Linked DNA regions of Elephas maximus indicus. The protein of the gene in region 2 interacts with the protein of the main gene of each other region in a pairwise test. Links are inferred from orthologs where the notes say so. Each region holds a gene or a part of one and is shown on either strand. Other genes may lie near its edges.

Region 1 (7,641 bases), on a different chromosome or scaffold from region 2:
TTACGCTTCCTCATTATGTTTTTATGTTGAGAACATTGACTGTAAACTATCATTAACCACGGCATAACTGCACGTCCCCAATCTCACATAATCTTACAGCCATTGACTCTGTGTGAAAGAAAAGTCTATTTTATTCTTCCCAAAAAAGGCTCGAATTTAGTAGCTTTTTTTTTTTTTTTTTTTTTTTAAGAACACTGGATCTCCCCTCTCTTCCTGGGATACATTTCCCAGTCCCTGTGCCCATTGTGACTATGAACCAAAACAAAAACAAACATTGGTCAAAGACGTGAGTTTCCTTTCAGAGTAGGTAGCTATAAAGGTTATACAGTATGGAAGGCCAAGAGTTAAACTCAGAGTTAAGTAAAGGCTGAAGTGGCCCCACTGGGGAAGTCATAACAACTGGACATCGACTCATTTGGCAAAGCTAAAGAAAGGTGCTAGACAAGAGTCGTCTGACAAAAGGAAGAAGGAAATAAGGACAACTAAACCAGAGTCATGACCCTGGGAGCCAGAAATGGAGAATTTTCACACGGATAAGATAACAGGACCAAGCAATACTTTTGTAACCTATTTTTAATGTTTATCTGTACAAATTTAAGAATTTGCTAGTATATTCAAATAATCAATCATATTAAGATGGGATCAATTTTTTTTTAACTTTTATTGAGCTTCAAGTGAACGTTTACAAATCAAGTCAGACTGTCACATATAAGTTTATATACACCTTACTCCATACTCCCACTTGCTCTCTCCCTAATGAGTCAGCCCTTCCAGTCTCTCCTTTTGTGACAATTTTGCCAGCTTCCAACTCTCTCTATCCTCCCCTCCCCCCTCCAGACAGGAGATACAAACACAGTCTCAAGTGTCCACCTGATATAATTAGCTCACTCTTCATCAGCATCTCTCTCCTACGCACTGTCCAGTCCCTTTCATGTCTGATGAGTTGTCTTCAGGAATGGTTCCTGTCCTGTGCCAACAGAAGGTTTGGGGACCATGACCGCCGGGATTCCTCTAGTCTCAGTCAGACCATTAAGTATGGTATTTTTATGAGAATTTGGGGTCTGCATCTCAGGGGTTCTCTGTTGTGCTCCCTGTCAGGGCAGTCATCGATTGTGGCCGGTCACCAACTAGTTCTTCTGGTCTCAGGATGATGTAGGTCTCTGGTTCATGTGGCCCTTTCTGTCTCTTGGGCTCTTAGTTGTCGTGTGACCTTGGTGTTCTTCATTCTCCTTTGCTCCAGGTGGGTTGAGACCAATTGATGCATCTTAGTTGGCCGCTTGTTAGCATTTAAGACCCCAGACGCCACATTTCAAAGTGGGATACAGAATATTTTCATAATAGAATTATTTTGCCAATTGACTTATAAGTCCCCTTAAACCCTGGTCCCCAAACCCTCGCCATTGCTCCGCTGACCTTTGAAGCATTCAGTTTATCCCAGAAACTTCTTTGCTTTTGGTCCAGTCCAGTTGAGCTGACCTTCCATGTACTGAGTATTGTCCTTCCCTTCACCTAAAGCAGTTCTTATCTACTAATTAATCAGTAAGATGGAATCAATTTTAAAGAGTCCTTCCTCCTCTTGTCCAAAGCAAATCTCTTCACGCCTGCTCAGAGTCTCATCCCTTCCCTTTTTATTGAAAGCCTCATCTAGCAACCATCTCCTATCTGTGTTTTCACTTCTTCCTTCCTAGCTCCTTTCTCTCAGTAGGTAAACATGCTGCAGTCTCTCCCATCTTTAAAGGAAAAAAAACGAAGTAAGACACAACCCTCACTGGACTCCCCTGCCATTTCTCTCCCTCCCCTTCTCTCTTCTAAAAAGGGCTGTCTACAGGTGTGGACTCTACTTTCTCACCTCCCACTCATGATCCACCTGCCATAATCTGATTCTATTTACTCCTTGCTCTCAGCAAGGCCACCAAGTACCACCCTATTTCCAAATCCAATCACAGTTTCCCCATCCTTATCTTACTGCACCCTCTGAGTAGAATCCATCTTCTCAATCTTTTTTTAATATTCTCTCCCTGGACCTCTGCGATACTGCTCCTCATGATTTGTCTTCCTTCTCAATCTCCTCTATAGGGTTTTCCCTTTGTCTGTCAATGGATTTGATTTACATCATTTCCATATATAATTCTAACGCTTCCCAGGGTTAAAAGGCACCCTTCTAAGGAAACCATAGAAAACCATTTTGTCATCCCCAGCAAGTTGAGAGGCCTATCTCAGCACACTGAAAAAGATCCCCAGATTTGAATCACAGGGTTTGGCCGTGATCTTGATAGGACACATCGAGACTTCCTTATCCTCACTACAACAGATGGGATTTCAAGTACATGCCCTCCAGGATTCAAGTTTCACAGAGCCTGTCTCCTCCTTCTAGTCTCTCAACTCCTCAGCCCCACTAAGGCTGAGGCTGACATTTGCTTCACATAAACTCTGGACAAAATATAAAAACCACTACACGAAAGCACTAAAGAGCAATTCAAATAGGCAGATTCTGGAGGAAAGCCAATAGTAGAGGAAAGGAATGGCACTGAGAGAGTGTGTCTGTGTCGGTGTCCTTTTTTTCACAATTTCTAGCTTGAAGGCAGGCCCCAGTCTGTGCGATGCAGGACAGCTAATACACAAATAGAAAACCTCCCACCTTTCTTAAGAACCAGAGGACCATGCTTAAGGCAACCACAGGTGCTAGAAAGTGAGAAAGGAATTCCAGAAGACAGAGACTACAGCCTTCAGCATGGATCACACCTGAACATAAAGAAAACTAAAATCCTTACAACTGGACCAATAAAACCCATCAAAAACCAAACCCACTGCCGTCGAGTCGATTTCGACTCATAGTGATCCTATGAGAACAGAGTTGAACTGCCCCATAGAATTTCTAAGGAATGCCTGGCAGATTTGAACTGCTGAACTCTTGGTTAGCAGCCATAGCACTTAACCACTATGCCACCAAGGTTTCCTGGACCAATAAACAACACGATAAATGGTGAAGAAATTGAAGTTGTCATGGATTTCATTCTTCTTAGATCAATAATTAACGCCCACGGAAGTAGCAGCCAAGAAATCAAACAACAGATTGCAATGGGAAAATATGCTGCAAAAGACCTCTTTAAAGTGATAAAAAGCAAAGATGTCACTTTGATGACTAAGGTTCGCCTGACCCAAGCCATGGTATTTTCAATTACCTCACATGTGAGTGAAAGCTGGACAATGAGTAAGGAAGACCAAAGAAGAATTTATGTGTTTGACTGCCAGAAGAAAGAACAAATCTGCCCTGGAGGAACTATAGCCAGGATGCTCTGTAGAAGTGAAGATGGTGAGACTTCATCTTGCTTACTTTGGACATGTCATCAGGAGAGACCAATAGCTAGGGAAGGACATAAAACTTGAATCAGCAAAAAAGAGGAAGACCCTCAAGGAGACAGACTGACAGTGCCTGCAACAATTGCCTCAAACATAGAAACAATTGCAAGGATGGCACAGTATCAGGCAGTGTTTTGTTCTGTCACATATAAGGTCGCAGTGGTTAAAACACTTGGCTGCTCACAAAAGGTCAGCAGTTTGAATCCACGAGCTTCTCCTCGGGAGACACATATAGCAATCAGCTTCTGTAAAGATTTACAGCCTTGGAAACCCTAAGGGGCACTTCTACTCTGTCCTATAGGGTCACTATGAGTAGGAATCAACTCGATGGCAGTGGGTTTGGCATGAGTCAGAGCCGACTCAATGGCACCTAACAACAACATACTTAGCCATCTAAATCCACACCTAACTTCCTCGGAAATTTTCCAGGCAAGTCTGGTGCTGAGACCTTCTTCTTCATATCTCCATAAATTCTCAGGTCCAGTATATGGAGGGGAGAATAAGTCTACCCCCAGCAGCATAGTTCTGAGTAGGGAGTCAAGTACGTATTTCCACAGAAAATATATAAAATTCGATTGGCAGACTCAGGCCTGCTACCAATTTTCTTGCTTCTTTTATGGCTTTTGGAGAGGATACTGTTATGGATTGAATCGTGTGCCCCTAAAATGTGTTTTGGGATCCTAGCTCCTATACCTGCAATGTAATCCTGTTTAGAAATAGGGTTTCTTTGTTATGTTAATGAGGCCATAGCAGTGTAGGATGTGTCCTGAACCTATTCACTTCAGAGTTACAAAAGAAGCAGATGAGACACAGAGACCAGCACACACAGGGGAAGACAGATGCCATGTGAGGATTGCCAAGGGACCAAGGAACATCCAGACTACCGACAAAAAAGGAATCCACACAGCTGAGACGCTGATTTGGACTTTTAGCCTCCAAAACTATGAGAAAATAATTTCTGTTCTTTAAAGCTGCCCACTTGTGTTATCTGTTACAGCAGCACTAGGTTAACTAAAAGAGACACCAAATGCCCATTCTCTTTTAGCTATTTCATTTCTCGCTGTTATGGGTTGAATCATCTCTCCCCGAAAACATATGTGGTAATTCTAACCGCCTTGACACAGTGGCTGTAACAATGCACTCATGCATAAAAATGATTGTGAGGATGGCACAGGACCGGGCAGTGTTTCATTCTATTGTACATAGTGGTCGCTATAAGTCAGAACTGACTCAATGGCACCTAACAACAACAACATAGTTGTAGATGTAACCCCATTTGGGAATAGGGTTTTCTTTATTATGTAATAAGGCCATAACAATATAGGGTGTGTTTTAAGCCAATCACCTTTGAGATATAAACCAAGTGGCTTAGGCAGAGAGAAGCATGCAGAGACGGGGAAGATAGATGCCACACTATGTGAAGACACCAGGAACAAGAACCTTCCCCAGAGTCCACAGAGAAGCCTTCCCCTAGGGCCGGCACCCTGAATTTGGACTTCCAGTCCAGTATGATGGATCACTTTTGTATGGGCTTTCCAGCCATGGTCTTTTAACTCCCACCCAAGTGATTAGGCGAGACTGTGTGATAGGGTAATTGTGGCCCACCAAAGGGATTGGTCAGTTTTACCATCCTGCAGGGCTTGAAATGAGCCACCCCAGAGGCAGGAGAGAGAGGATCCTACCATCACCAAGAAGAACAACCAGGAGCAGAGAGCATGTTCTTTGTACCAGGGATCCCTGCACTGAGAAGCTCCTGGACCCAGGAGACAGACAGCTGTAACACTAAAGACACTGAGAAGTGGTAGCAGAGAAACAGTGACAGGAGGGACTGGCAGTAGAGGCTGATAAAATCGTGGGTTTCCCAACCCATGGAGCGAGGAAACTGTCTTTGGAGAGAGGCCAAGGGCCAGGGAGAGGTGTGCCTGGGAGCCTGACTGGGATGTGCCTGTCCTGGTAGAAGAACTGTATCCTGGGCATTCCTGAACCTGAATTTTAACATGTTACTTCCCTAATCAACCCCATAACTGTGGCCATTGCAAGGAATTACTGAACCCAGTAGAGAAGTAGAGAGTGCCATAGGAGGGACTGTTGGTGTCAGAATCAGTAAAGATGGTGGAGAGAGAAGGCATGTCTGACCTCTGCCTCATGGGAATCACCTTTGGGCTGTTGATCTTGATTCTCCTTCCCCCTTGTGAAGAGGGAGGAGGCCAGACTCTGCCCCATGCCATTTTTACCTCCAGCCTCCTAAACTGTGAGAAAATAAATTTCTGTTTGTTAAACCCATCCACTTGTGGTATTTCTGTTGTAGCAGTGCTAGATAACTAATATACTCATTTTGCTCAGTTTACCGAAGAGCCATGTCATTCAGTGAAGAAGACTGTTCTACCAACTCCCTGCCCTCTGCCTCCAGCCAAATCCATTAAGTCTGAACCTGATTCCACCATCCTCCCTGCACCTCCATCCCACCATACCCACAGTCCCACTCCCTTTAGGATAAAAATCTAACACCATCTTGTAAGACTCACCTCTTTCTTCTGAGGTGATTCATTTTGCCCATCTTTAGGGAGCTGGCTTAGCTAACAGAAATAATGTCCCAAAATGAAGCCCAAGTGTTTTACATGGTGACATGCCTAAAAGGAAATGAGGCCTGAAGTACAAACTTCTTATTCATAAATTAAACTCAGGCCTATCTGAACTCAAGGCAGATCCTATCTGAGAGAACTACCAAGGGCTGCAAGAAACAACTTCACACTAAGAAGGGCTGGAAACGATGAGCATTCCCTTCATGGCACCTGCTGTAAATCCCCAAGATTTATGGTAAGAGTTGCATGCAGCTGTAACCATGCCTCATGCTGGGATGATAACCTTTCCAGAAACCAGGTGTTTTTTGTGTCTGGGCTTAATCATCAAACCCAGCCAAAGCCCTGAGCCACATGACTTTTTCATTCCGCAGGTGGAAGCCCCAAATTCAACCTCAGAAAATAAGCAAGCGACAGCCGTTGGATAGGGAAGTGGGTACAGCGTTCTGGTAAAAGGTTCTGAGGGCCAGAGGGGTGACTCTGTGTAGACACAGGGCTAACCTATCCTTTTCCCCAGCCATCCTTAGTGGGGCATCTGACAGCTGGGGCATAACTTTTGTTCTCAATCTTTGAAAAGTTAGTGCCCAGCATGGCAGGCACAGAGTTGAGAAACAGTGACAGTAAGTTACAGGGGAGAGGAGATGCCCTCTGCCCCTTGGTTCTTTTTCTGGAGTAGGAAATAAAGGAGTTAAGAGAGAACAATTTCCGCTCTTTTTCCTCACCACCAGTAACCTGGTTCTGCCACTTTTTCTTTTAAAAGTCCTGATGATTATTAACAGAGGAGCCCTGGTGCCTCAGTGGTTAAGCCCTCAGCTCCAACCAAAAGGTTGGTAGTTCGAACCCACCAGCTACTCCTCAGGAGAAAGACGGGGCAGTCTGCTTCCTTAAAGATTTATAGCCTTAGAAACCCTAGGGAGCAGCTCTTCTCTGTCCTACCGGGTCACTGAGTCAGAATCGACTCAACAGCAGTGAGTATGATCATTAACAGCTTGTTTTGGAAATTCCTTCAACATCTGCATTCCTCCACTTTGACCACATCTTGATGTGAATGATATTTATTGTTACGCTGGCTCTGGCGGGGCAGAGGGGCCTTCTGGGTGATATGTTTATTGTTGTAAGTGACACAGGGCAAGGATAATTTAGGACAGGTCAGAGGGTAAGTTTTTATTTTGCAAAGAACCAGCGGGGGGGGGGGGCGGGGAGGGGGTGTGGAGCTCCATCTGGGAGGCCTCAGAGCTGGGTGATGGGCAGGGCTCCTGCCAGAGACAGTGTTTGTGCTCACTCTTCTAAGCTTGTGGGCAACAAATAGAATTGCCCAACATCCAACCCTCAAAGCATCCTTTTTCTGTATTTCCAAGACAGAAAATCTGTCCCTAATATAGCAACGTCTGAAGCTGTACTGTGCTTTATATTCCACAAAGACCTCTTGATTTCCTGTGAATTGGGTATAAAGAGTTGAGAAGACCAGCTCCTAGAGGCTGAACCTGAAGGACAAAAGTCACTCCTCACCATTACACCTGACCTTTTCTACCAATCACATGCCTACCATACACGTGCCTGGGGCTCTTCATTTGCGTTGGCCATGGTTTCTTAAAAGGAAAAGCAAATGCTCAGGAACGTCCACACCTCTTGTGGTCTTTAAAACCAGTTACTATCAGGTTGATTCCAACTCATGGTAACCCCGTGTGTGTCAGAGTAGAAC
Region 2 (7,680 bases):
CTGAGAAGGACAGGAATGAGAGGGCGCTGCTGGGGGTCCACAGTCATCATGGAAGCCACCAACTGCCGCAATGCTGAAGAATGCCTGTAGAGGGAGGAAGGCAGGCTGACTGGAGGACTGGAGGGCAACCCATTCCCCGCTTGCTAAGGCCCCAGCGCAGCTAACACCAGAGGGAGGTGTCTGAAACACTTGGTGTCCCTTTTATTGCTTACCTGGAGCTTTGTGGAATGCTGAGCTGGTTCTGCACAGCAAGGGCCACACTGTCACCCTTCTGGAACACCATGTCATAAGGGCCTTCCCCAAACATCATGGCATACAGCACACAGCCTAGGGACTGAGCATACCTGGGTTACTCTCTGGAAGGGAACTGATGGAGGTAAGACCCATCCCTTGCTGCTCAGTCAAAGGGCACTATCAGGGCCCACAGAAACTGCCACTTATCTGGAGGCCTCTGTATCTCTTGCTTAGCCACTGTCTTTAGCCCTGACATGTAGCTGTACCCACCCTGCTCAAGGGCAGGAATTATACCACTTCCTGAGCAGTTGACTACAGTATCTGTGACAGTCCCAGGAAGGAAGCCAAGGAGGATGGGGACATACCATGGTTCCTGGGGCCTCATGCAGTAGAAACCACAGATCTACCCTCTACTGCACAGTGAGTACAGAGCAGCAATCCTCCCCTGCCCAGGTTCCCAGCCATATGCTCCTCACCCAGACGTCAGTCTGCTCATCAATGACACAGTGGCTCTGCACGGAGAAGAGCTCCGGGGCCCGGTAGGAGATGGTGCATCGCTGGGCCGCCCAGTCCTGGAACAGTGGCCCCAGAGCTCAAAAGTGGGTCACAGGCCACAGTCATGTGACCAAATTGGGGCATGCCCCAGAAGGGACTGAGGATGGGGAACAGGTGGACAAACAAACCTGGAGACTCACCTGCAGGGCCAGGGCCTGGCGGGAACCCTCCACGTGGATACGTGCTTGATTCATGGAACCCAAGTCCATTAAAACAGGCTGCCCCTCATCTCCAAGCAAGATATTGGTGGGCTTTAGGTCTCTATAGTGAAGTGGGAGTGAATCATGAGCATCCCTGGACAGTAAGGCCAAAATCCCAAGGAACAAAAGAATCATGGGGGCTGTTGCTTGAAAGGAGAGCAAAGACTTCCCATTTCTTTTGGTGAGGCTCTTCCTCTTTGCCCAGTAAGTAGGGGATCCTCCCACTGACCTGTGGGCATAACCCTTGGCATGAATGGCCTCAAGGCCTCTGCAGATACCCAGCAGCAGCAGCAGGATTTGGTCCTCAGTCAAGAAGCTGCCTCTGTCCTTCAGTCTCTCTATCTCATTCCACAGCGTACCTCTCTGCAACACAATTTCCCCAGTTTTCCTGAGCCTTCTGTTCGCTCTGTCAAAGCCTATCAACCTGTTCACCACACACACCTCAGATCCCACAGTCCCACTTAAAATCAAAAAACCAAACCAAGTGTCGTTGAGTCGATTCTGACTCATGGCAGCTCCATGTGTCCCACTGGGGTTCCTCTAAACCCCAAATCTGAGTGGCCAAACCCAGGACATGGTCCCTGCTTCCTACACATTTGACTGCCCACACAGCCCTTAGTAAGTGGCTCTATTGCAACCCCCTCCACATCCAAGAGTCCTTCTGACCTTGAAGAAGGGTAGCAGCAGCCAGGCCTCATGTTTCGAGCCCCGCTCCCTCATACAGTAAGCCACGAGGTGGAGGATATTGGGGTGATGGAAGAGCCGATGCATGTCTGCTTCTCGCTGGGCCTCCTCCCGGTCCTGCTGCTCGTGACACAGAATTCGCTTCAGGGCGTAGAAGTGTCCATCATGTAACCCCTCCACTAGGTCCACATAGCTGAACCCACTGTGGGCCAAAGGGGTCAGTGAAGGACCACGGTCATCTCCCGCAATGCCTGCACCCAGAAGAATTCCCTGGGGGAAGAAGGCTGTATTTCCCAACTAGTAGAAACCCATCTGAAGACTATCATACTTTGAGCTCCTCGAGAACAGCGACATAGTCATTTCTGAGGTACTACGATCGTAACACAGAGTTCTGTACTTGGCAGATGCTCAATAAATGTTAAATGAATAACAGCCAACATTTACCAAGTGTTTATGGACCAGGCACTGGGCTTGCCCTCTTATACACATCATCTCAATCCTCACAACTCCATCAGCGAAACATGATTATCTCCATCAAGCATATGACAAAACCATGGCTTACCAAGGTCACACAAGGTAGATCTAGGAGGCCTGGCTGCAGAATTCACCTTTTTGACTACCATGCAGCTAGGCCCCGTTAGGTGACTTAGAGGACAGAGTTAAAACCCTTATACCCCTGTCATGTATGGATTGGTGTCCTTCAATCACCATAATCTGGGAACTCGCTCAGTGATTTCCAAACACTCACCCCTCCCCCAGTTTCTGTATGAAGAGGTAGCGCTTATTGTCAATGACGACAGTTCCCCGAGAGCAGACACACAGCGCATGGCCCATAGTGTCTCAGTCATCCTCCTCAAAGACGGTCTGAGGCTGCAGAAGAATTCGTTCAGGATGAGTGGGCTCTTCCAGGCCATGCACTGAGGGCCCAGCAGAGCATGCTGTAAAGAACAGAAAGGAACAGTCGCGACGACCCCTGAGGTACCAATGCGGAAAGCAGAGGCCTGGATCTGAGGACCTGGCGACACCAGCTCCAACAAGGCTGGGGTCAGGTGCCTTAAAGCCTCAGGCCACGTAACAACTACCACGCCGCTTCCGCCAACCTCAGGCCACCTTTGGGCGGCCCCCGCTCCCACGCCCGTCGGGCCGTAAAGGCAAGGCAGGGCAGTTCGCGGGAGGTGCGAGGCTGGGGCCCACCCCTTCCAGGACCCATCCCTTCTAGGACCCACCCTCGGCAACCGCGCGCAGAGCCCAGGGTCCCCCAGCCCCGGCCCCCCACTGACCTGGCTCGGGCGACAGGGACGCGCTAGCGGCCGGAAACAGTGGTTACATCATCAGTCCGCGCCGGCATAACGGCCCGCGGTATCATAGCAACCGCTGGGCACCCGGACGATGTGGGGGCGCCGCGCTGCGAAGCCCGGGGCAGGCTAGGCCTGGGGAGGACGGGTCCCAGGCGAGGGGTCCCACCTGGCCTTCAAGACGCAGGCACTTGAGCCAAAGGGGAGCAAAACCGGGCCCGGCCCTAGGCCCCCAGGACCTCCATCTCCCAATGCCCGAGGTAGGGGGTCTCATACCTCCCGCGCTCTGGGGCCAGAAAGCGGCCGTCTACTGTACAACCCGGGGACACAGGGAGAAGCAGGTGCTCGAGGTCTGGACTGCTGGAGCTGTGAGCTCTGAAGCCACACAACCTCCAGGGCTCTGGCCCGGATCCCACCACTCTAGGCTTAGTGGTTAAGATCAGACTCGTGAACCAGACTGCCAGGGTCTAAATCCGAACTGAACAGCCTACTAGCTGTGTGACCTCGGGCAAGTTACTTAACGTCTCTGAGCCTCACTTTCCCTAGTCTTTATCCTTCAGCCTTTCTATCTCATTGCACAGCGAACATCTGGGATACAGGCCGTAGTCCCAAAGGTTGTATGGTGCCTATGGTTACCTGCCTGAACCATGAAGCCAGACTGCTGAGTTCAAATCCCAGTGCTACTGAACTAGTGTGTAACTATGAACAGGTTACTTAATATTTCTGTCCCTCAATTTCCTCATCTGTAAAATGGGGATGATAATTATCTACCTCAGAGTTCTTTGAGGATTAAATGAGATATGAAGTGCTTAGCATAATATCTAACACATAGCCTTCAGTAAGTGTTAAAAAAAACAATAACGGTAATTATTACTAATTACCCTGGTCCTCACATCCCAGGCTTGGGACTGTGAGGGCAGGAGGAATGGAGACTGACAAATTCCCAAATCTTGGCACCAAGCAGTTATTCTTAAAATCTCTTGCTCAGGCAGGCAGGGATGAACTGGGAGAGTGGGATGGGGATAAGATGGAATGAATGGCCAGGACGGACCCTTTTTCTCAAACAGGGCTTTCCAGGAGAAACATCCCTTTTGTAACCTGGTTCTCCGTTTTCATACCCCGATCATGGGGAAGATTGTCTGAGGTTTCCCTTAGTTCTGAACAGGCGTTAGCCCCTGGTTCTGACATTCATTCGTCTATATTTAACCTGCTGTGTGTCCACTCTGGAGGATTTAAGATGGACCAGGCACTGCTTGCCTTTAGGGAGTTATTCTAGTAGAGCTGTGATTCTCAGTCTTGAATGTGTTTAGGGTCTCCTGAGGATGTTGTTAAAATACAAATTCTGGTTCCATAGGTCTGAGAAAGGACCTGAGATTCTGTATTTCTAACTAGCTCCCAGGTTATGCTGACGAAGCTGGTCCGATGGATTGCACTTTGAGTAGCAAGATATAGAGGATTTTACAATCTAGTAGAGTGGCAGGTGGCTGCAGGCTGGAGACAAAAGTCCAGGGTAATCTTCTGGCAACTTGGGGTGGTCTCCGCCCCCTTGCTCACTGAGGTTCCCTCCCAGGAATCCCACGTGACGGTTGGACCTCAGTCTCAAAACTAGGAGCCCTGCAAGCGCCGTGGCTCCCAAGATGCCGCCCTGCCTTCTCTCTCTGCTGCTGCCGTTCCTGACGCTGCTGCTGCCCCAGGTAAGATAAGAGGGTTGAGCCGGCCTGCCGGGTTCGATGAGGCCGGATCAGATTCGGCGGATGTAGGGAAAGTAAAAATAATAACTGGCGGGGCTATTTACATATTCTCCGCTCTCGGCAGACGCTGATCCCCACTGCAGACCTCTGCTGAGCAGCGTCTCTACTTTAATTTGCAGGCAGACACTCGGTCTTTCGTAGTGGATCGGGATCATAACCGGTTCCTCCTGGACGGGGTTCCGTTCCGCTATGTATCTGGCAGCCTGCACTACTTCCGGGTACCGCGGGTGCTTTGGGCAGACCGGCTTTTCAAAATGCGAATGAGCGGCCTTAACGCCATACAGTTGTAAGAAGTGCTCAGAGAGCCGTGGAGAGGCGGGGCTTACCCTTCGTACCACCCCCTTAGGAGGAAGCTTGGGGCAGAAAGACTGGCACAGGATGGAGAGGGGTTGGAGCACCAGGGCTCCCAGGCCAAGGGTGGGAAAGGGTGGGCCAGGACATTTTTCCAACTGCTTCCTGGAGATTTCCTGCAGAGCCTGAGCCCTTAGGCCTCACTGGTATCTCTCCACTTTGGGCCCTGTTAACCTCTTCTTTCCTCCAGTTACGTGCCTTGGAACTACCATGAGCCAGAGCCTGGGGTCTATAACTTTAATGGCAGCCGGGACCTCACTGCGTTTCTGAATGAGGCAAATAAGGCGAACTTGTTGGTCATACTGAGACCAGGACCTTATATTTGTGCAGAGTGGGAGATGGTGAGTTAGTTGGAGAAGGGATAGAAGAACCAAAGCCACCCTTGTATGATTCCTAGACAACTCCCTTCTGCCCATACTGTAGGGCCACTTCCAACACTGCACTGAACTTCCTCCCTTCCTACCTCCCCCACTCCACCCCAAAACAACAAAACCTACACTCTTCCTTGTGTTTATGTTTCTCTCAGGGGGGTCTCCCATCCTGGTTGCTTCGAAAACCTAAAATTCATCTGAGAACCTCAGATCCAGGTGAGTTGAGACAGAAGATTCAATAGAAGAAGGCAAACAACAATTGGCTCAGGTATCAGAGAAGGTTTTCTTGAGGAAGCGAGCTATAATTTAAGCATGAGTTGCAATTGGCCAAATGAAGGAAGTGGGGACAAAAAAAATGTCAGGCAGAAGTAATAACATGCATGAAGACCTGAGAGTGAATCACAGAAATCACAAGTAGGAGTTGAGAATTTAAGGCATGCTACCTTTTTTACCTAATGTAAACCAGGGATCTTTCAATTGATGGCTAAAATCGACCGGACAGTGCATTAGGGTACAGGTTACACATTACACATTTCTGTGAATTCACAGGCCACTTTATAGCAATTTGAGGCATAAGCTGATTACATAATAATAGCTCTATAAGGTTTAAGATGTATTTAACATTTTTATTACAGGAAAAAAACAAATGTGTAAGAAACACTGCTTTAAGGTCTCCTATGTTGAAATTCCATTGATATGCAAATATATGAGTGCTTAGGGTTGAGTTTCTTCTGACAAGAGTCAGTCAGTGCTTCCCAGATTTAGTTATGTATAAGTGGGATAAACGGAGAGAAGAATGAAGTTGTCAAGGATTTCATTTTACTTGGACCCACAATCAACACCCATGGAAGCCAGCAGTCAAGAAATCAAACGACGCATTGCATTTGGCAAACCTGCTGCAAAAGACCTCTTTAAAGTGTTAAAAAGCAAAGATGTCACTTTAAGGACTAAGGTGCACCTAACCCAAGCCATGGCCTTTTCAGTCACCTCATATTGCGTGTGAAAGCTGGACAGTGAAAAACGAAGACCAAAGAAGAATTGATGCCTTTGAATTATGGTGTTGGCAAAGAATATTGAGTGTACCATGGACTGCCAGAAGAACAAACACATCTGTCTTAGAAGAAGTACAGCCAAAATGCTCCTTAGAAGCAAGGGTGGCAAGACTTCATCTCACATACTTTGGGCATGTTATCAGGAGGGACAAGTCCCTGGAGAAGGACATCATGCTTGGTAAAGTAGAGGGTCAAGAAAAAAGAAAAAGACCCTCAACTAGATGGATTGATATAGTGGCTGCAACAATGGGCTCAAGCATAACAACGATTGTGAGGATGGCGCAGTTCTAGACAGTGCTTCGTTCTGTTGTACATAGGGTTGCTATGAGTCAGGAATGACTTGACGGCACCTAACAACAGCAAGTGGGATGGAGGAGCCCTGGTGGCACAGTGGTTAAGAGCTCGGCTGCTAATCAAAAGGTCAGCAGTTCAAATCCACCGGCTGCTCCTCGGAAACCATATAGGGCAGTTCTACTCTGTCTTGTAGGGTCACTGTGAGTCGGAATCGACTCAGCGGCAATGGATTTGGTTCAGATAAGTCAGATGGAGACTGCAGCCCCAAGTATAGTCAGCATGGAAGTTGCTAGTATTGACGCTGGTTGGTGTGTTTGTGTATGTGTGTGCAGAGGTTGTGGTAGCCCCTAATGAGCAGAGCACTGTGGGCTCAGAGAGCGCGGCTTCTTCCTTTAGACTTCCTTGCTGCAGTGGACTCCTGGTTTCATGTCTTGCTGCCCAAGATATATCCATGGCTGTACCACAATGGGGGCAACATCATTAGCATTCAGGTACAAGTGAAAAGTTGACTGGGCAAGGAAAAGGGGGTGTAGGAGGTCCTTAACCTCCTCACTGAACTCCTTTTTCCCTTCTTCCTGGCAGGTGGAGAATGAATATGGTAGTTATAAGGCCTGTGATTTCAGCTACATGAGGCACCTGGCTGGGCTCTTCCGTACAATACTGGGAGACAAGATCTTGCTCTTTACCACTGATGGGCCTGAAGGACTCAAATGTGGCACCCTCCAGGGACTCTATACCACTGTAGATTTTGGCCCAGGTCTCCTAAGCAAGGGGTAGGAATATGGTCAGGGGAAGGGGCACCTCTTCTATAATGTTTATCTTTCACCTCTGCCTCCTTTCTGCAGCCGACAACATGACCAAAATCTTTAACCAGCTTCGGAAGTATGAACCCC
Region 3 (7,988 bases), on a different chromosome or scaffold from region 2:
GTCTGTCAGATGGGGAAACTGAGGCTAGAAGAAGATCCCAACAATGGATGACATGCCACCCCAGTTACCTTGGATGGCTTGCTTTGTCGAGGAGTCAGGATGGATCTTAGGGCCTCCCGAGGCCCTGGACTGCCCAGCTCTGCTGAAAGCTCTGAATCATTCAAGTCCAAGGTGACCAACAAAGGTGCTGAGCGGGGCCTTGGAGGGCCCAAGGACTCCTGGCGTTGGCACTTGTGGGGTGGGAGAGAGACTGCCAGGGAGCTTGTCCTGCCAGGCCAAGCCAGATCACAGGTGCCATCTTGGTGGGCGCTCGGTGGGGAGGAGGCCCTCGAGGCCATTGAGGTCATCTCCCGTAACGATGGTGTCTCTGCATCGTGGCTGCTGCTGGAGTCCCGGCTTGACTGGAGAAGAGGGGCCAGGTCACCCAGGGAGTGGTCTGGCCCCAGGCCATCCAGAGCTGGCCTGAATTAGGCATGAAGGCCTTGGTCCTCATCACTGATCTGGCCTCAGCAGTGTCCTATGTCAGTCTCTTCTCTTGCTGGGCCTCAGTTTTCCCAACAGTAAAATGGACACATTGTACCAGAAGACCCTGGGCACCTGCATTCTGGCCTGAGGTTAGGCAGACCCTGCCTATACCCACCTTGGAGGCTGCCTCAGCCACAGACCGCCGCACAGCATCCTGTCCGGCCCACAGCTGCCTCAGCAGCTCCAAGTTGAGCTTTCGCAGCTGCACCAGGTCCTCAGTCTCCATCATCTTGGGTGTTTCATCGAGCTTCTCACAGAGGTATTACTGGCTCCTGGGCTGAGAGATGCCCTCAGGCCTGGGTTCCAAGCCCAGTTCTTCCACCTGAAGTCAAGACAGCACGATATGGGGTGAGTAGGGTGTCTTTCAGCCAGAGGCCTGGGTTCAAATCCCTGCTCTGATACTCGCTGTGTGGCTTCAGGCAAGTTATTTAGCCTCTCTATGCCTCAGAGAGGTTTACACATCTGCCAAACAGAGATGATAATAGTATCTATCTCATAAGGTTGTTCTAAGGATTAAACTCCCAAGTACAGTGCCTGGCACACAGTAAGCATTGAATTGTTGTCGTTTTTAGTTGTTTTCAAGTCATCTCCAACTCATGGAGACCTCACGTGTGCAGAGTGGACCTGCTCCATAGGGTTTTCAAGGCTGTGACTTTTCAGAAGCAGACCGCCAGGCCTGTCTTCCGAGGCGCCTCTGGGTGGGTTCAAACCACCAACCTTCTGGCAAGTAAAAAAAATCAAAAACCAAATCCGTTGCTGTCAAGTCGATTCTGACTCATAGCAAACCTATAGGACAGAGTAGAACTGCACCATAGGGTTTCCAAGGAGTGGCTGGTGGATTCGAACTGCTGACCTTTTGGTTAGCAACTGTAGCTCTTAACTAGGCAAGTACTCGAGTGCTTAGCCATTTGTACCACCCAGGGACCACATATTCAATAAACATCTATTATTATTAGAGAAAACTGTTCAGGGTGTGTTTCCTTACCCACCAACAGAGAATAATCCTCCCCTGACAGCCTTAACTACGAAATCAGACTAGCTTAATTTGTAGAAACCACCGCCTGTCAGTTTGTCACACTGTGGTGGCTTACATGTTGCTATGATGCTGGGAACTGTGCCACCGGTATTTCAAATACCAGCAGGATCACCCGTAACAGACAGGTTTCAGAGGACCTTCCAGACTAAGACAGCCTAGGCTCTATTTCTAAAAATTAGCTCGTGAAAATCTTATGGATCACAACAGAACACTGCCCAACTTGCTTCCTTTGGATACATCATCAGGTGGGATGAACTGCTGGAGGTGTACATCATGTTTAGTAAAGTAGAGAGACAGCCAGGGAGAAGACCCTTGGTGAGATGGACTGACACAACAGCTCAGTGACAGACTCAAACATGCCAGCAATTGGGAGGATGATGCAGGACCACGCAATGTTTTGTTCTGCTTCCATAAGGTCACCATGAGTCAGAGTCAATTTACGGCAGCTATCTAACTGTAGGAAACAAATGCACATGTAAAGCATTATAATTCCTGAATCCAACAGAAATCAGGCTCCTGGGGACTCTTCCCTCCTTCTTAACCTTTTTTTTTTTTAACAGATGAAGTGACCAAGGTTCAGAGAAGTTAATCTATCAGCCCCAAGTCACACAGTGAGCAGCAAAGTCAGAATTCAAACCCAAATCTGGCTCCAGGTCCACGGTCTGCCAGGTGGCAGTGTAGGGAGGTACTTGGGAAGCCTTCTACTCCCAGCCTTTGGCCACCCAAGGATGCAAGATCAAGAAGGGAATGCTCTGGAAAGGATTTCTGCAGACTGGGGAAGGGGCTTCCCACTTCTCCCTCTCACAGCTCCAGACTCAGACTCTTCCAACCAGAAAATGTCTCCCCCAGTGCGCACCATGCCATTTTAATACTGCGCCGGGTCAGGCATCCTGCTCTCAGGGACCCTGCCCCCGAACACTCCCACCTACACTCCCCCCCCCACCCCCGGGCGCACTGCAAGGGCTGGGGCAGAGAAGTCAGATGTGCACGGAAACGCCCCTCTAACGTACACAGGCCCCGCAGGGAAGGGAGTCAGTGGAGGGGCAGACACCGGGGCAAGCCGCCTGGTCCTCAGGGCTGGGAGTCCCTGCCCCCACGTTTAAAACGATGGAGCTACGCTGGGCCGTACCCCTATGGTCCGAGGGCCTTCGTTTTCGCAGGATGTTAAAGAGAGTCGCCTGCGCAGCCCTCCTCCCGGTTCGGCCGCGTCAGGAAAGTTACAAGCAGCGCCAATTCAACAGAAAATGATGTTCAAAAGAGAAACTGGGGGAAGAAAAGTCAAAGAGAAAGCGCTCGCGGACGCAGAGGCACGACCCCAGGTAAGGGGGCGGTCCCCCGAACCTCCCGGTACTCACGTGGGACTCACAGCCGAGGCCCGCTCCCTCACTCACCGCCCGGAAACACCAAACTGCGCAGCCGTGGCAGCCCCTGCTGCAATGCGTTCTCCCCGCCCCGCCCGTCCCCAGCCGGGGGCGGGGCCCGCGCCGGCAGTCCTGATTGGACAAATGCGAGTCTCTCCGCCAAGCGTTACTCGGCGTTCTGAAGAGGCAGTTTCAATCTTCGGGCGAGGCCAAGAGCCACGGCCAAGAGCCGATTGGTCAACTTCCAAGGCCGGTACTGGCGGCAGATTTTCGAAATGGGGCGGGTCCCGGAGGGGGCACTCCGATTGGTCAGGCGCGAGGCCGCGAGCTACTTCGCGTTCTGCAGCTGTAGTTTCAGTCTAGCGGCGTAGGAGGCCAGGCCTGGGCTTGGTACCGGTCTTGGGTCGCAAGCTGTGTCATTCGCCGGGGCAGAGTCGTAGGTGGCAGTTGGCAACCCGTTCTTTCATACATAGTACACTCATCCATTCGTATTTATCGAGTGTGTACTCTGTGCCCCCAATGCATTCATTCTTTAAACATATATATCGGGCGCCTGCTTTGTGTCAGGAGGCACTGTACTAGGCACTGGGAAGCAGAAAAAAAACAAGAAGAGTCCCTGCCTGGGGGATGGGGAAAGGCAGTGGAAAATATGAACACAAATACCTATAATCCAGACTGTAAAATATGAGCAGACATATACTGAGTGCTACTATGTCCCAGGTATTTGTGCTAGATGCTTTTCGAATGCCAATGCATTCTAGCCTCAAATAAGCTCCAAGATGGGTATTATTGTCCCCATTTTATAAAGGAAAACAAAACCAAGGCTACTAGAGATGAAGTTAGTTGCCCAGAAACCCACAGCCAATAAATGCCAGAGAGAACTAATTACACCTCAATTTAAAAAAAATTTTTTTAATTAAAAATAATGGTACATGCAGTCTTTAAGATCTGCTCCTATCATCACTCTCTGCCCCTAGGCCAATAAACAGGGTCAGGTCTCCCTGCCCTGTCCAAGCACAGAAGTAAAGCCTTGCTTACACATCAAAGAAATTGCAAGACCTGGCTAATATGTCAATAAAAAACAGAGAGATATGTGTGGGAATACATCTTGAAAGTATTGGGTTTGGGGGTGGCAAACCTAAATCTGAATGGGGGAGAATTATTGCCATGGGCCTTCACCCGTGATTTGGGATCCAATCTTCTGATAAGGGCGCCTGGAGCTGGCTGTGACAGTCTGTTGAGATGGCCCCCTGCAATCTGGACATGGTGGTGGTTTACAGCAAATGAAGTAAAGATACCAGAATTTCCCTAGCATAGTATTGAAGGAAGAGGTCGGAAGTCTCAAGGTGGTAGGTGCAGCGAGTGCACTAAAAAAGGCATGAGGCAGGCTAACCCTACTTTTATGACTAACTGCATGAGAAGGATCAGCATGAATCCAGTGCTCAGCTGGGAATAGATCGTGGCCTCACCTTCCCACATCTCCATACCTAGTCGCCAGCCACTTCTGTGGCAACTCTCTCTGACCCTAACCACCCAGAGTTAGATCAGACCTCATCCCCAGGCACCCTGAGGCTAGGTAATCAGAGTAGACTCAGGAGTCTGCCCAACTCCCTGCATGTCAGACCTGCCTGTCTTTCTCTCTCTCATCCCCTGGGACTAAGTCACAAGCTAGAAAGAGTCTGTCCTTCACTGACTGTCCTTGCAGCCTTTCTCTGTCACCCAGCCACCTGGAGCTTGGTCTACACAAATCAACTCTGTACGGCTAACCCCTACTGACTCATTATCCCTGTGGGTTCATTAATTCTCTGTAATGGCTCACCAAATTCAGAGACTATTATTTACGTTTCACCATTTATTACAGTCAGAAAGGATAGAAGCGAAGCAATGCATCTGACAAGGCTAGGTCTGGAGAAGTCCTGGCACCAGGAGGCTTCCATTGTCCTCAGGGACGTGCTGTACCCTCTCCCATGCACAGATGTTTCCACCAAGCCAGGAAGCCCCAAGGAGAGAAGCTCCAAGGTCCAGGGTCCCCCCTAATCATTAGGATCTCAATGAATATGCATAACTGGGGCCTGAATGCAGTTATGATCAATCCAAGCAATTAATACACATGACTGCATCATGCTCCCGCCCTTCCTGAAGTTGGTTTGCCAGGTATGGGGCCTGTGTAGCCCCTACTTATTTATACATATTTAAGTATACCAAACCAAAAAACTCATTGCCGTCGAGTTGTTTAAGACTCAGTGATCCTATAGGATAGAGTAGAACTGTCCCATAGGGTTTCCAAGGCTGTAAATCTTTATGGACGCAAACTGCCACATCTTTCTTCTGCAGAGCAGCTGGTGGGTTCAAACCACCAACCTTTTGGTTAGCAGCCGAGTGCTTAACCACTGAGTCACCACAGCTTCTTATATTTAAGAATAGCCTGGCTATGTTAGAAAGAAAGAAAGAGCACCTTAATTGCTCAGGGTATTTTCAAAAACCAAATCATATACAAAAAGCCAAATACATACCGAATCATTGTTGTTGTTAGGTGCCATCAAGTTGGTTCCAACTCATAGCGACCCTATGCACAACAGAAGGAAACACTGCCGGGTCCTGAGCCATCCTTACAATCCTTGTTATGCTTGAGCTCATTGTTGCAGCCACTGTGTCAATCCACCTCATTGAGGGTCTTCCTCTTTTCCACTGACCCTGTACTCTGTCAAGCATGATGTCCTTCTCCAGGGACTGATCCCTCCTGACAACATGTCCAAAGTATGTAAGATGCAGTCTCGCCATCCTTGCCTCTAAGGAGCATTCTGGCTGTACTTCTTCTAAGACAGATTTGTTGGTTCTTTTGGCAGTCCTTGGTGTATTCAATATTCTTCGCCGACACCACAATTCAAAGGCGTCAATTCTTCTTCAGTCTTCCTTATTCATTGTCCAGCTTTCACATGCATATGATGCAATTGAAAATACCATGGCTTGGGTCAGGCGCACCTTAGTCTTCAAGTCTTTGCTCTTCAACACTTTAAAGAGGTCCTTTGCAGCAGATTTACCCAGTGCAATGCGTCTTTTGATTTCTTGACTGCTGCTTCCATGGCTGTTGACTGTGGATCCAAGTAAAATGAAATCCTTGACAACTTCAATCTTTTCTCCGTTTATCATGACGTTGCTCATTGGTCCAGTTGTGAGGATTTTTGTTTTCCTTATGTTGAGGTGCAATCCATACTGAAGGCTGTGGTCTTTGATCTTCATTAGTAACTGCTTCAAGTCCTCTTCACTTTCAGCAAGCAAGGTTGTGTCATCTGCATAACGTAGGTTGTTAATGAGTCTTCCTCCAATCCTGATGCCCCGTTCTTCTTCATATAGTCCAGCTTCTCATATTATTTGTTCAGCATACAGACTGAATAGGTATGGTGAAACAATACAACCCTGATGCACACCTTTCCTGACTTTAAACCAATCAGTATCCCCTTGTTCTGTCCGAACGACTGCCTCTTGATCTATGTAAAGGTTCCTCATAAGTAGAATTAAGTGCTCTAGAATTTCCATTCTTCTCAGTGTTATCCATAGTTTATTATGATCCACACAGTCTAATGCCTTTGCATAGTCAGTAAAACACAGGTAAACATCCTTCTGGTATTCTCTGCTTTCAGCCAGGATCCATCTGACATCAGCAATGATATCCCTGGTTCCACGTCCTCTTCTGAAACCGGCCTGAATTTCTGTCGATATACTGCTGCAGCCATTTCTGAATGATCTTCAGCAAAATTTTGCTTGCGTGTGATATTAACGATATTGTTCTATAATTTCCACATTTGGTTGGATCACCTTTCTTGGGAATAGGCATACCAAGTTCTACCAAATACAAAAGGCCAAATCATGTTCTTTGTCCCACAGTAGGAATATATGAATAGTTTACCATGTTTTCCTTCACCCAAAGGACATTCTCTTCACTAAGGCAATAAGAAATGTATCATCAAGGGGAGGTGGACTGGCATCTTTGAGAAGTTCAGTGGTGGCTGCTCTGTTCACTGATGAGGAGAGATGCTGTCATGGAACTGGGCTCCCTCAGATCAGTGGGGATGATAGGATTCTGGTATGGCAGAGGCATAACTGTCAGAGGCAAGACAGATCATAATAGACAGCAGGGGTGGAGCAGCAGAAAGAGTCCCTAGACCCATGGGATCTGTGACAATGGCCATTAAATCATGATGTTCCTAGGAGTCACATAGATGAACAGTCAACTAAGATGTTCCTCAACTTGAATAATTAAAAAATTGAGAACTGGCTAGCCAAAAGTTGACTTCTGCTGCAGCAGTGGAAAATGATGGTCCCTCATCTCCTTCCCATATATGTTCAAGTCATTTCTCAGATTCTGAGCTCACTGATTGAAGGGAAGGCCATGCCAGATGTGGAATCTTTACTGGAGCAGAACCACATAGCCTCTGGTACTTGGTGTGCAGTTATTATTACTCTGTGTAATATGCTCTTTTCAATTGCCATCGGTAGGGAGGAACAAAAGCAGTTTCCATTCACACAGTGGGGACAGCAGTAGACATTCTGTCCTGCCCCAGAACTATGTATACTCTCTTTCATAATACAGTATAGTCAGTCCATAGGGACTTTGATATTATGCATAAATACTGATGTCCCTACTAAATCTATGGCATCAAGCTACTTGGACTTAGTGAGTAGAATGTGACTAGCACCCTAGATGCTCCTAGGAAGCCACATGTGTCAGATGGCAGTAAATAAATCCCACCATTTTTAGCCCAGTGTCTCGAGCATACTGGAACATCCCTCTAAGGTGAAAGACAGATTATGGCACCTCCCCTCTCCACCTACTAAGAAAAAGGAACAATGCTTGGAGGGTCTCTTTGGTTCTGAAGGTAATATATGTTACCCTTGGAATACTCTCACAATCCTATTTTGGGTAACTTGGAAAGCTGCTAGTTTTGAATGGAGCCCAGAGCAAGCAAGGGCTCTATAGAAAGCCAGGCTGGGATGTAAGCTGGTGCTACAAGTATTCATGGTAGATAAGGAGGCTGTATTAAGTCTCTGGAAAGTCTCTAAAGTAG
Region 4 (7,185 bases), on a different chromosome or scaffold from region 2:
GCGCAGTCCCAGGGTAGGCAGGGCCTATCCCAACCAGTCCTATAGTCCCAAGACTGTAACCTCAAATATGGACCATTTATAATTACGTAAAAGGGAGACTGGTCTAATGAGAACTGACAATTAACACATTCCCACCCAGAGATCACCTGGCTCCCATCACAGAACCTCCCCTGGCTACCAAGGTGACTCAGTTTTTAAAAATAACTTTAGGTAGGTAGGGTACCTCATCAGAAGCTTTGGAAAGTCTGTTAGATTATACCTATTGCCTCTCCCATATCTGCAGAGATAATTATCCCTTAAGGAACTCAAGGGTCTGTGGGGTGACCTTCCCTTCTAGAAACCAAGGTGTTTCTCAGGCCTCACCCTGAAACTGTCACCACTTGGGGTCTCCAGGTTCCAGGCTGGTGATAGGAACCCACGGTGGGAAGGGTGTCACCTGGATTCCAGGTTAGAGAGGCCATTTGGCTTTCTAGGTTGGTGGGCAAGCCAAAGGATGCTAATAAGTCAAATCAGTGCTCGTCCCTGGGCATAGGCTCACAAACTGACACACAGCAGCTATACACTCAATAATCATCTTTCCCCCTAAATCCAGGCTGGCATCAGATTTTCCTCAACACAGAGCTGTAGATAACAATCAACATTGGTTCTTAAGATGAAACCCTCTTTGACATGCCTTTTATAAGACCACTGAGCCATCCTATTTCAGAATGGAAGAAAACTGAAAAGTAGTAGGAATCACAGTGGATTTGGATTGATGAGCTCAGAGTCTTGACCTTAGCATTGGCCATCCTGCCTCACAGAGGCTGCCATCTTGGATCATGGAAGTTGCCATCTTTGTTTATGAAAGTCTCAGGGAGCTCCCCTTCCTGATACCTCAAAGTTGGTGTCTGTGCCACAGCCACAGGTCCAGCAGGGCCCCACCACCCGAAGGACAGTCTGGCGATCAGCATCCTGGATGGAGAACTTGGGGAGAAACGGATGCCAGGTCTGTAGTACGTGGCCAATGGTGGTGCCCGGTGGAGCCTGTATTTCCATCTGGGATACAAGGCAGACAGGGTCACTGCCAAGCCAGGGTTGCCTGGTCCAAGCTCCCACCTAGCCCTCTCACTAGACTCTCCCATCCCCACAAGCCCATGCCCACCCGAACCACACCCCATCCCTGACCCCACCCCACCATGGCCTGTTCCCCTACCCCAGCCTGTCCTCTACCCCACCCCTCCTCACCCACCTCCTGGAGGCCGCAGGGGCAGCAGCCGCAGCCACAGTGGAGCGGACGTAGCAGGCGCAGCACTTCGCGGTCCCCGGGGTCCACCAGGCGGACACGCAGCGGCCGGCGGGCACCACAGCACAGGCGAGCGCAGCAGTTGCTCTCCTCGGCCGCCTGGCCCAAGGGTTGCCCTGCCCCCGAGCGCAGTTCATACCGGTTACAGGTTTCCCAGCCTAGGAGCCCTGCCAGGGAGTTACAAGAGTCTTGTTGAGGCTCAGGCTCCGATGCTGGCCCCAGAGCCCGCCATCCCTGCCTGCATCACTAGGCCCAACCTCCTCTGCCGCTGCCCCACTCACCTTGCACTCGCTCAACCTTTTGGTGAATCAAGATCTGGTCAATCTAGAAAGAGTAAGGGCACCGCCGACGACGTCAGCTGGCTCGCCTGGACGCCGGGCCCCGGTCACCCCTCCCTCTCTCCCACTTACCTGCGCCAGGAATTCGAGGCCAGGAGGCACCCCGGGCAGTGGTAAGAAGGGGGCAGGAGACCCCGAGGCCAAGGGGCCAGGTGAGGGGAAGAGAGCGAAGCCTGGCGCGGGGCTGGGCACCTGGGCGGGCACCGGCGCCTGCCCGGCCCCAGGATGCAGCGCCGGCTCCGGGTATCCGGTGGTCACAGGGTAGGGCGGTGGAGCCGAAGGGGCGTAGCCTTTGGGGGGCAAGTAGCCTGTGGAAACAGGGGTCGAGATTAGAAAGGGCCCAGGAGCCTCATCCCCTCGTCTTCAGCCCGTGGGCCACGAGGCTGCGGGGTTAAAGTGGTGGGGAAGACTGGGAAAGATGGGGCGGGGGAGCCGGGCGGCGGCTCCCCGGAGGAAGGGAGGGGCCCACGTAGCCAGTCCGAGCACATTCCCGGAGGATGTGTTCGACACCCGGCTCCCAAGTCCGCGGGCTGGGGGGGATAACGGAGACCCCCCAGCCCTGCGCCCACTTACCTGCCATGGGACAGGGGCGGGGACCCAGGGGATGTCGGTGTCCGCGCGGCTTAGTTTTAGAAGTGGAGGCAGGCTCGGAGACAGCCAGATAGACACAGAGACAGACACAAAGACGGACAGGCAAACGCGCAGAAGCAGCTGTGCCCGGCGCTGGACCAGGGTCTCCGGGCGGCACCTCTGACTTGAGGAGAAACCGAAAGTGTCAGCAGGCGGGGCGGGGTACCTGGGACCCTGGATTCCCTCCGGGGCCCCAGAACCGCCCCCTCCCTTTGTTCTCCCATTCTCCGTGGAGGTGGCCGGATACGGGCAGCAGGACAGATGGGCCCGCGCACGGTCAGACCGACGACCCGGCCTCGAGAGAAGCCTCCCAGATCCCTCTGTGCCCCATGCTCACCTGAAACCCCCAGAATTGCCTGGGTGCCAGGCTCGGCCGCTCTGAAGAGCTAGTGGAGGCGGGCCCTGGATCTGACCCCGCCCCTCGACCAGCCCAGGCCCCGCCCCTGCCGGCCTTGGCGGCGCGCCTGCGCAGAGAAGACGCACGCCGGCTCTCCTACCCTGCAGCAGAGTCCGGACCGCGCGCTCCTGGCGTCGCCGGCGTCCCCGCCTCTTCCGCTCCGACTGCAGATGTGGGGAGGAAAAGCGGCTGGAGAGGGAAGCCGGCTGAGACCTCAGCCGCGCGACCCTGCCAGGCCCGCGGGCGCAGAGCGCTCGGCGCCCTCTGGTGGGGACGCGGGCCACCTGCACTGCGCTCCCGGCCTGGCCGTGCTAGACTCCGGGCGCTCCGGGGCTCGCTGACGCAGCGCAACACGCTTCGCACTCCTTCTTTAGCTCTGCGGCCGGCTCCTGCTCCCTTTCTGCTTCCCCGGGGCTGCCTCGCCACCTCTCCTGGTCAGAGCGAGGCCGGAGCGCCGCGGTGACCCACATACACCCCTCGCAATTACTTCCCTCAGGCGCTCCCAGCCGAGTGGGTGACAGGCTGCCAAAGAGTGTCATTAATGAGTGTGCCTGAGGTGAGGCTCAGAGGCCCAGAAGAGGAAATGCGGTCAGAGGAGGCGTCCTCCGGGAGGAGTCAGTCGTCGGGCTTCGGAACCCAGGCCCACATGTGTGAAGAAGTCCTGCGCCTTTGGGGCCACGGGCTGAATGGCAAGAGACGAGTTTAGAGAAGAAGGCCAGCACGCGTGCAGAGGGCCTCGTGGGAGCTGGGGCTTGGCCCCAAGGACATCAGAGAGCCCCTTGAAAAGATCTTAAGACCGAGGGCCCCTATGGGTCAGAGCAGAACTGCCCCGCAGGGTTTCCAAAGCTGTAAATCTTTAAGCCGACAGCCACGTCTTTTCCCATGGAGCTACTAGTGGGTTTAAACGCTGACCTTTCGGTTAGCAGCTGAGCGCTTCACCACTGGCCCCAGGGCTCGTAAGACAGAGGGAGAATGTCAAATTTGTGTTTTAGAAAGACCGTTCAAACAATGGAGAACAGGAGGCACTCAGGCTGGACTGTTGGCTGTAGTCTGAGGGAGAAACGATGGTGTATTGGGCAAAGGTAGTAGACACAGACGCTTAAGAGATATTTAGATGATAATGTAGGAATGGTTGGTGAGTGAGATGTGGAGGTGAGGAGTCCCGGATGACTCCAGGTGCCTACCTGATAACCAGGCAGACGGAGATACCACTCAACAAGGTGAGCAAGGGGAGAAGTCAGTTTGGGGAACTCCTGCCCTGTGTCAGCCCCTCACCCGAATGCCTGACCTCTCTACTGGTATCCCTTAATACTTCAGACTCTACCAAATCACATAAACATTCAGAAATTCAGAGAGTCAACAAAGATTTATTGAGCACCTACTATATGCCTATGAGTTGGAATCGACTAGACAGCAATGGTTTTATGTGCCAGACAGCGTTTGAGGTGATAGGAATATATAGCAGTAAACAAAACGGACCAAAATTTCTGCCTTCCTGGAGCTCACAGTCTAGTGGAGAAGAGACAGATAATAAATGCATTTTAAGTCAGATGGTGACAAGTGCTATGAAGAAAACTAGACCAGGATAAGGAGGGTCAGGAGCGGTGGGCAGGAGTTTTGATTTTAAATAGAGTGGACCAGGCAGGCATCACAAAAGACAGTAGTTGAGCAAAGACCTAAAGGAGGTGAGGGGTTAAGCCACGCAGACTTCTGGGTAAAGAGAGCTTCAAGCAGAGGGAACAGCGAGGACAAAGACCTGAAGGCAAAAATGTGCCTTAAATTGTTCAAGGAAAAAAATAGAGGCCAGTGTGGCTGGAATGGAGTGAAGGTGGGCAACATGGGTTGACTTATGTCCCCCCAAAAATAGGTGTATCAATTTGGCTGGGCCATGATTTTCAGTATTGGGTGGTTGTCCTCCATTTTGTGATTGTAATTTTACTTTAAAGAGGATTAGGGTGGGATTGTAACACCCTTACCCAGGTCACATTCCTGATCCAAAGTAAAGGAAGTTTCCCTGGGGTGTGGCCTGTACCTCCTTTTATCTCTCAAGAGATCAAAAGGAAAGGGAAGCAACCAGAAAGTTGGGGGACCTCATACCACCAAGAAAGCAGCACCAGGAGCAGAGTGCGTCCTTTGGACCTGGGGCCCTGTGCCTGAGAAGCTCCTCAACTAGGGGAAGATTGATGACAAGGAATCTGCTGACAGTGAGAGAAAGCCGTCCCCTGGAGCCGACACCCTGAATCTGGACTTGTAACCTACTAGACTGAGAGAGAATAAATTTCTCTTTGTTAAAGCCATCCACTTGTGGTATTTCTGTTACAGCAGCACTAGATGACTAAGACAGAGGGGGAGAGTGGTAGAAGGTGAGGTCAGAGAGGTCACGGGAGGGTAGATCACATATGGCTTTGTTGACCAGTGGTTTATACTCTGAGTTGGATTGGGACTGTTGGAGGACTTGGGCAGAGAAGTGATGTGAATAGTGGTTCTCCACCCTGACCACATTCTATGTTATCTGGAGTGCTTTAAAAAAATACCTCTCCCTGGGCCCTACTTGTTATATAAATGAGCCAAAGGAGGCCCCTATGTATTGGCCCTAGGCTGTTTATTTCTTCATAGCAAACTCAGGCCTGTTAACCCAAAAAGCCTGAGGGCATCAAACTCATATTTTTACATATCTGTTGTTTTTAAAATAAGCAGATTTTTAGCCACTGAGACCCTGACTGCTTTACATATCCCCCAAAATGGCACCCACCATCTGCTAGCCATAGATAAGATAACCAACCAAAACAAACCCATTGCCATCAAGTTGACTCCTGACTCATGGTGACCCTACAGGACAGAGTACAACAGCCTCATTAGGTTTCCAGTGAGCAGTTGGTGGATTCAAACTGCCAGCCTCTTGGTTAGCAGCCGAGCTCTTAACCACTGTGCCACCAGGGCTCCAGATAAGATAAAACCCTGTAGTTATAAGGACCCCAAGCTGCTGCTGCCTTTTGGAGCTCTTTGACTTAGAGACTCCCCACCTTAGTGCACAGGAACTTAACCTAAACATATAGACACCCCCGTTCAATCCCCCCCTCCCCTGGGGAGTTTCCCTGTCCTCTTCCCCTTCTGGTGGCTCCTTGCACTGCTTGCCTCTGGAGTGCCTCCTGCTGCAGGGGACTGCCCCCCCCACCCCCTCCCCAACACATTTGAGCTGTCCAATACTTTGGGCTCCAATAAATAGCTTGTTGTGCAACACTGCTATCTGGTGGTCATATGTTTTTCTCTGATCCACGCTGAACTCTCTCAAACTCAAAACACCACTCCTTAACAGTTAAATTAGAATATCTAGGGGTGAGGGGCAGATGTAGGCATTTTTTGAGAACTTCCCAGCAGATATTAATATGCAGCAAAGGTCGAGGACCGCTTTGTTGAAAAGATCTCTCTCTGTCTCTCAGGCTGCTTTGTCGAGGGTAGACTGTAGATAGGCAAGGGCAGAAGGAAGTTACTGCAAAAATCTAGGTGAGATATGATGATGGTTTGGACCAGGGACCAGAGTGGTAGCAACAGGGGTGGTAAGAAACGGCCAGATTCTGTTTGAGCCAACAGGGTTTGATGATGGCTTGGATGTGGGATGTGAGAGAGGAAAAGAAAAGTCAAAGTTGACTCAGGCTTGAGGCCTGAGCAGCTGAAAAGAAGAGTTGCCATTTACTGGGATGGGGAAGGCAGCAGAGCAGGGGTGAGGGCAGATCAGGGATGGGTGCGGGCATGGCCAAAAGAGCTCTGCTCCTCCTCTTCTCCCAGTTGGGTTACACTAATCATTTTTAACCAGTTACCCCAGCTCAGTCACCCCGTCCCCTCTCTCCCAATCATCTTGTATATCCCCATCTATCCCATCTGTGAGGTGCCTCTTGAACCCTCTCCCTTCTCTTTACCCACATCATCAATGCCAGCACCAATTGCTGTCAAGCTGACTGTGACTCATGGTGACCCTGTGTGTGTCAAAGTAGAACTGTGCTCCACAGAGTTTTCAATGGCTGAATTTTTTGGAAGTTGGTAGCCAGGTGCCATGGATTGAATTGTTGTTGTTGTTGTTACGTGCCGTTGAGTCGGTTACAACTCATAGCGACCCTATGCACAACAGAACGAAACACTGCCTGGTCCTGAGCCATCCCTACAATTATTGTTGTGCTTGAGCTCATTGTTGCAGCCACTGTGTCAATCCACCTCGTTGAGGGTCTTCCTCTTTTCTGCTGACCCTGTACTCTGCCAAGCATGATGTCCTCCAGGGACTGATCCCTCCTTACAACATCTCCAAAATATGTAAGACGCAGTCTCACCATCCTTGCCTCTAAGGAGCATTCTGGCTGTACTTCTTCTAAGACAGATTTGTTCATTCTTTTGGCAGTCCATGGTATATTCAATATTCTTCACCAACACCACAATTCAAAGGCGTCAATTCTTCTTCCATCTTCTTTTTTCATTGTCCAGCTTTCACATGCATATGATGCGATTGGATATACCGTGGCTTCGGTCAGGAGCACCTTAGTCTTCAA

The links.
Region 1: the proteins of STK16 (region 2) and SAXO1 interact in binary tests that used the Homo sapiens proteins (3 or more experiments, as listed by UniProt). The two-hybrid records come from large-scale screens. The link is inferred for Elephas maximus indicus from reciprocal best matches to the Homo sapiens genes STK16 and SAXO1.
Region 3: the proteins of STK16 (region 2) and MIIP interact in binary tests that used the Homo sapiens proteins (3 or more experiments, as listed by UniProt). The two-hybrid records come from large-scale screens. The link is inferred for Elephas maximus indicus from reciprocal best matches to the Homo sapiens genes STK16 and MIIP.
Region 4: the proteins of STK16 (region 2) and PLSCR3 interact in binary tests that used the Homo sapiens proteins (3 or more experiments, as listed by UniProt). The two-hybrid records come from large-scale screens. The link is inferred for Elephas maximus indicus from reciprocal best matches to the Homo sapiens genes STK16 and PLSCR3.

The regions. Positions count from the first base shown.
Region 1 is NC_064827.1:28,838,651-28,846,291, forward strand, and holds the start of SAXO1 (stabilizer of axonemal microtubules 1), read right to left. Parts: upstream 3,015-7,641; coding exon 2,994-3,014; intron 1-2,993. UniProt on the Homo sapiens protein: May play a role in the regulation of cilium length. Stabilizes microtubules at low temperature.
Region 2 is NC_064824.1:117,833,315-117,840,994, reverse strand, and holds the start of STK16 (serine/threonine-protein kinase 16), read right to left. Parts: upstream 3,004-7,680; 5' UTR 2,954-3,003; intron 2,950-2,953; exon of another isoform or gene 2,900-2,949; intron 2,612-2,899; 5' UTR 2,508-2,611; coding exon 2,422-2,507; intron 1,876-2,421; coding exon 1,656-1,875; intron 1,353-1,655; coding exon 1,219-1,352; intron 1,051-1,218; coding exon 930-1,050; intron 807-929; coding exon 711-806; intron 335-710; coding exon 213-334; intron 85-212; coding exon 1-84. Other genes in the region: GLB1L (beta-galactosidase-1-like protein), read left to right, coding at 4,606-4,662, 4,839-5,005, 5,261-5,411, 5,597-5,657, 7,184-7,278, 7,370-7,544, 7,633-7,680. UniProt on the Homo sapiens protein: Membrane-associated protein kinase that phosphorylates on serine and threonine residues. In vitro substrates include DRG1, ENO1 and EIF4EBP1. Also autophosphorylates. May be involved in secretory vesicle trafficking or intracellular signaling.
Region 3 is NC_064821.1:51,870,231-51,878,218, reverse strand, and holds the start of MIIP (migration and invasion-inhibitory protein), read right to left. Parts: upstream 3,004-7,988; 5' UTR 2,917-3,003; intron 2,825-2,916; 5' UTR 2,691-2,824; intron 848-2,690; 5' UTR 755-847; coding exon 641-754; intron 402-640; coding exon 69-401; intron 1-68.
Region 4 is NC_064837.1:13,418,200-13,425,384, reverse strand, and holds the start of PLSCR3 (phospholipid scramblase 3), read right to left. Parts: upstream 3,007-7,185; 5' UTR 2,932-3,006; intron 2,812-2,931; 5' UTR 2,748-2,811; intron 2,738-2,747; exon of another isoform or gene 2,588-2,737; intron 2,375-2,587; 5' UTR 2,201-2,374; coding exon 2,194-2,200; intron 1,929-2,193; coding exon 1,693-1,928; intron 1,607-1,692; coding exon 1,564-1,606; intron 1,450-1,563; coding exon 1,229-1,449; intron 1,036-1,228; coding exon 874-1,035; intron 1-873. UniProt on the Homo sapiens protein: Catalyzes calcium-induced ATP-independent rapid bidirectional and non-specific movement of the phospholipids (lipid scrambling or lipid flip-flop) between the inner and outer membrane of the mitochondria.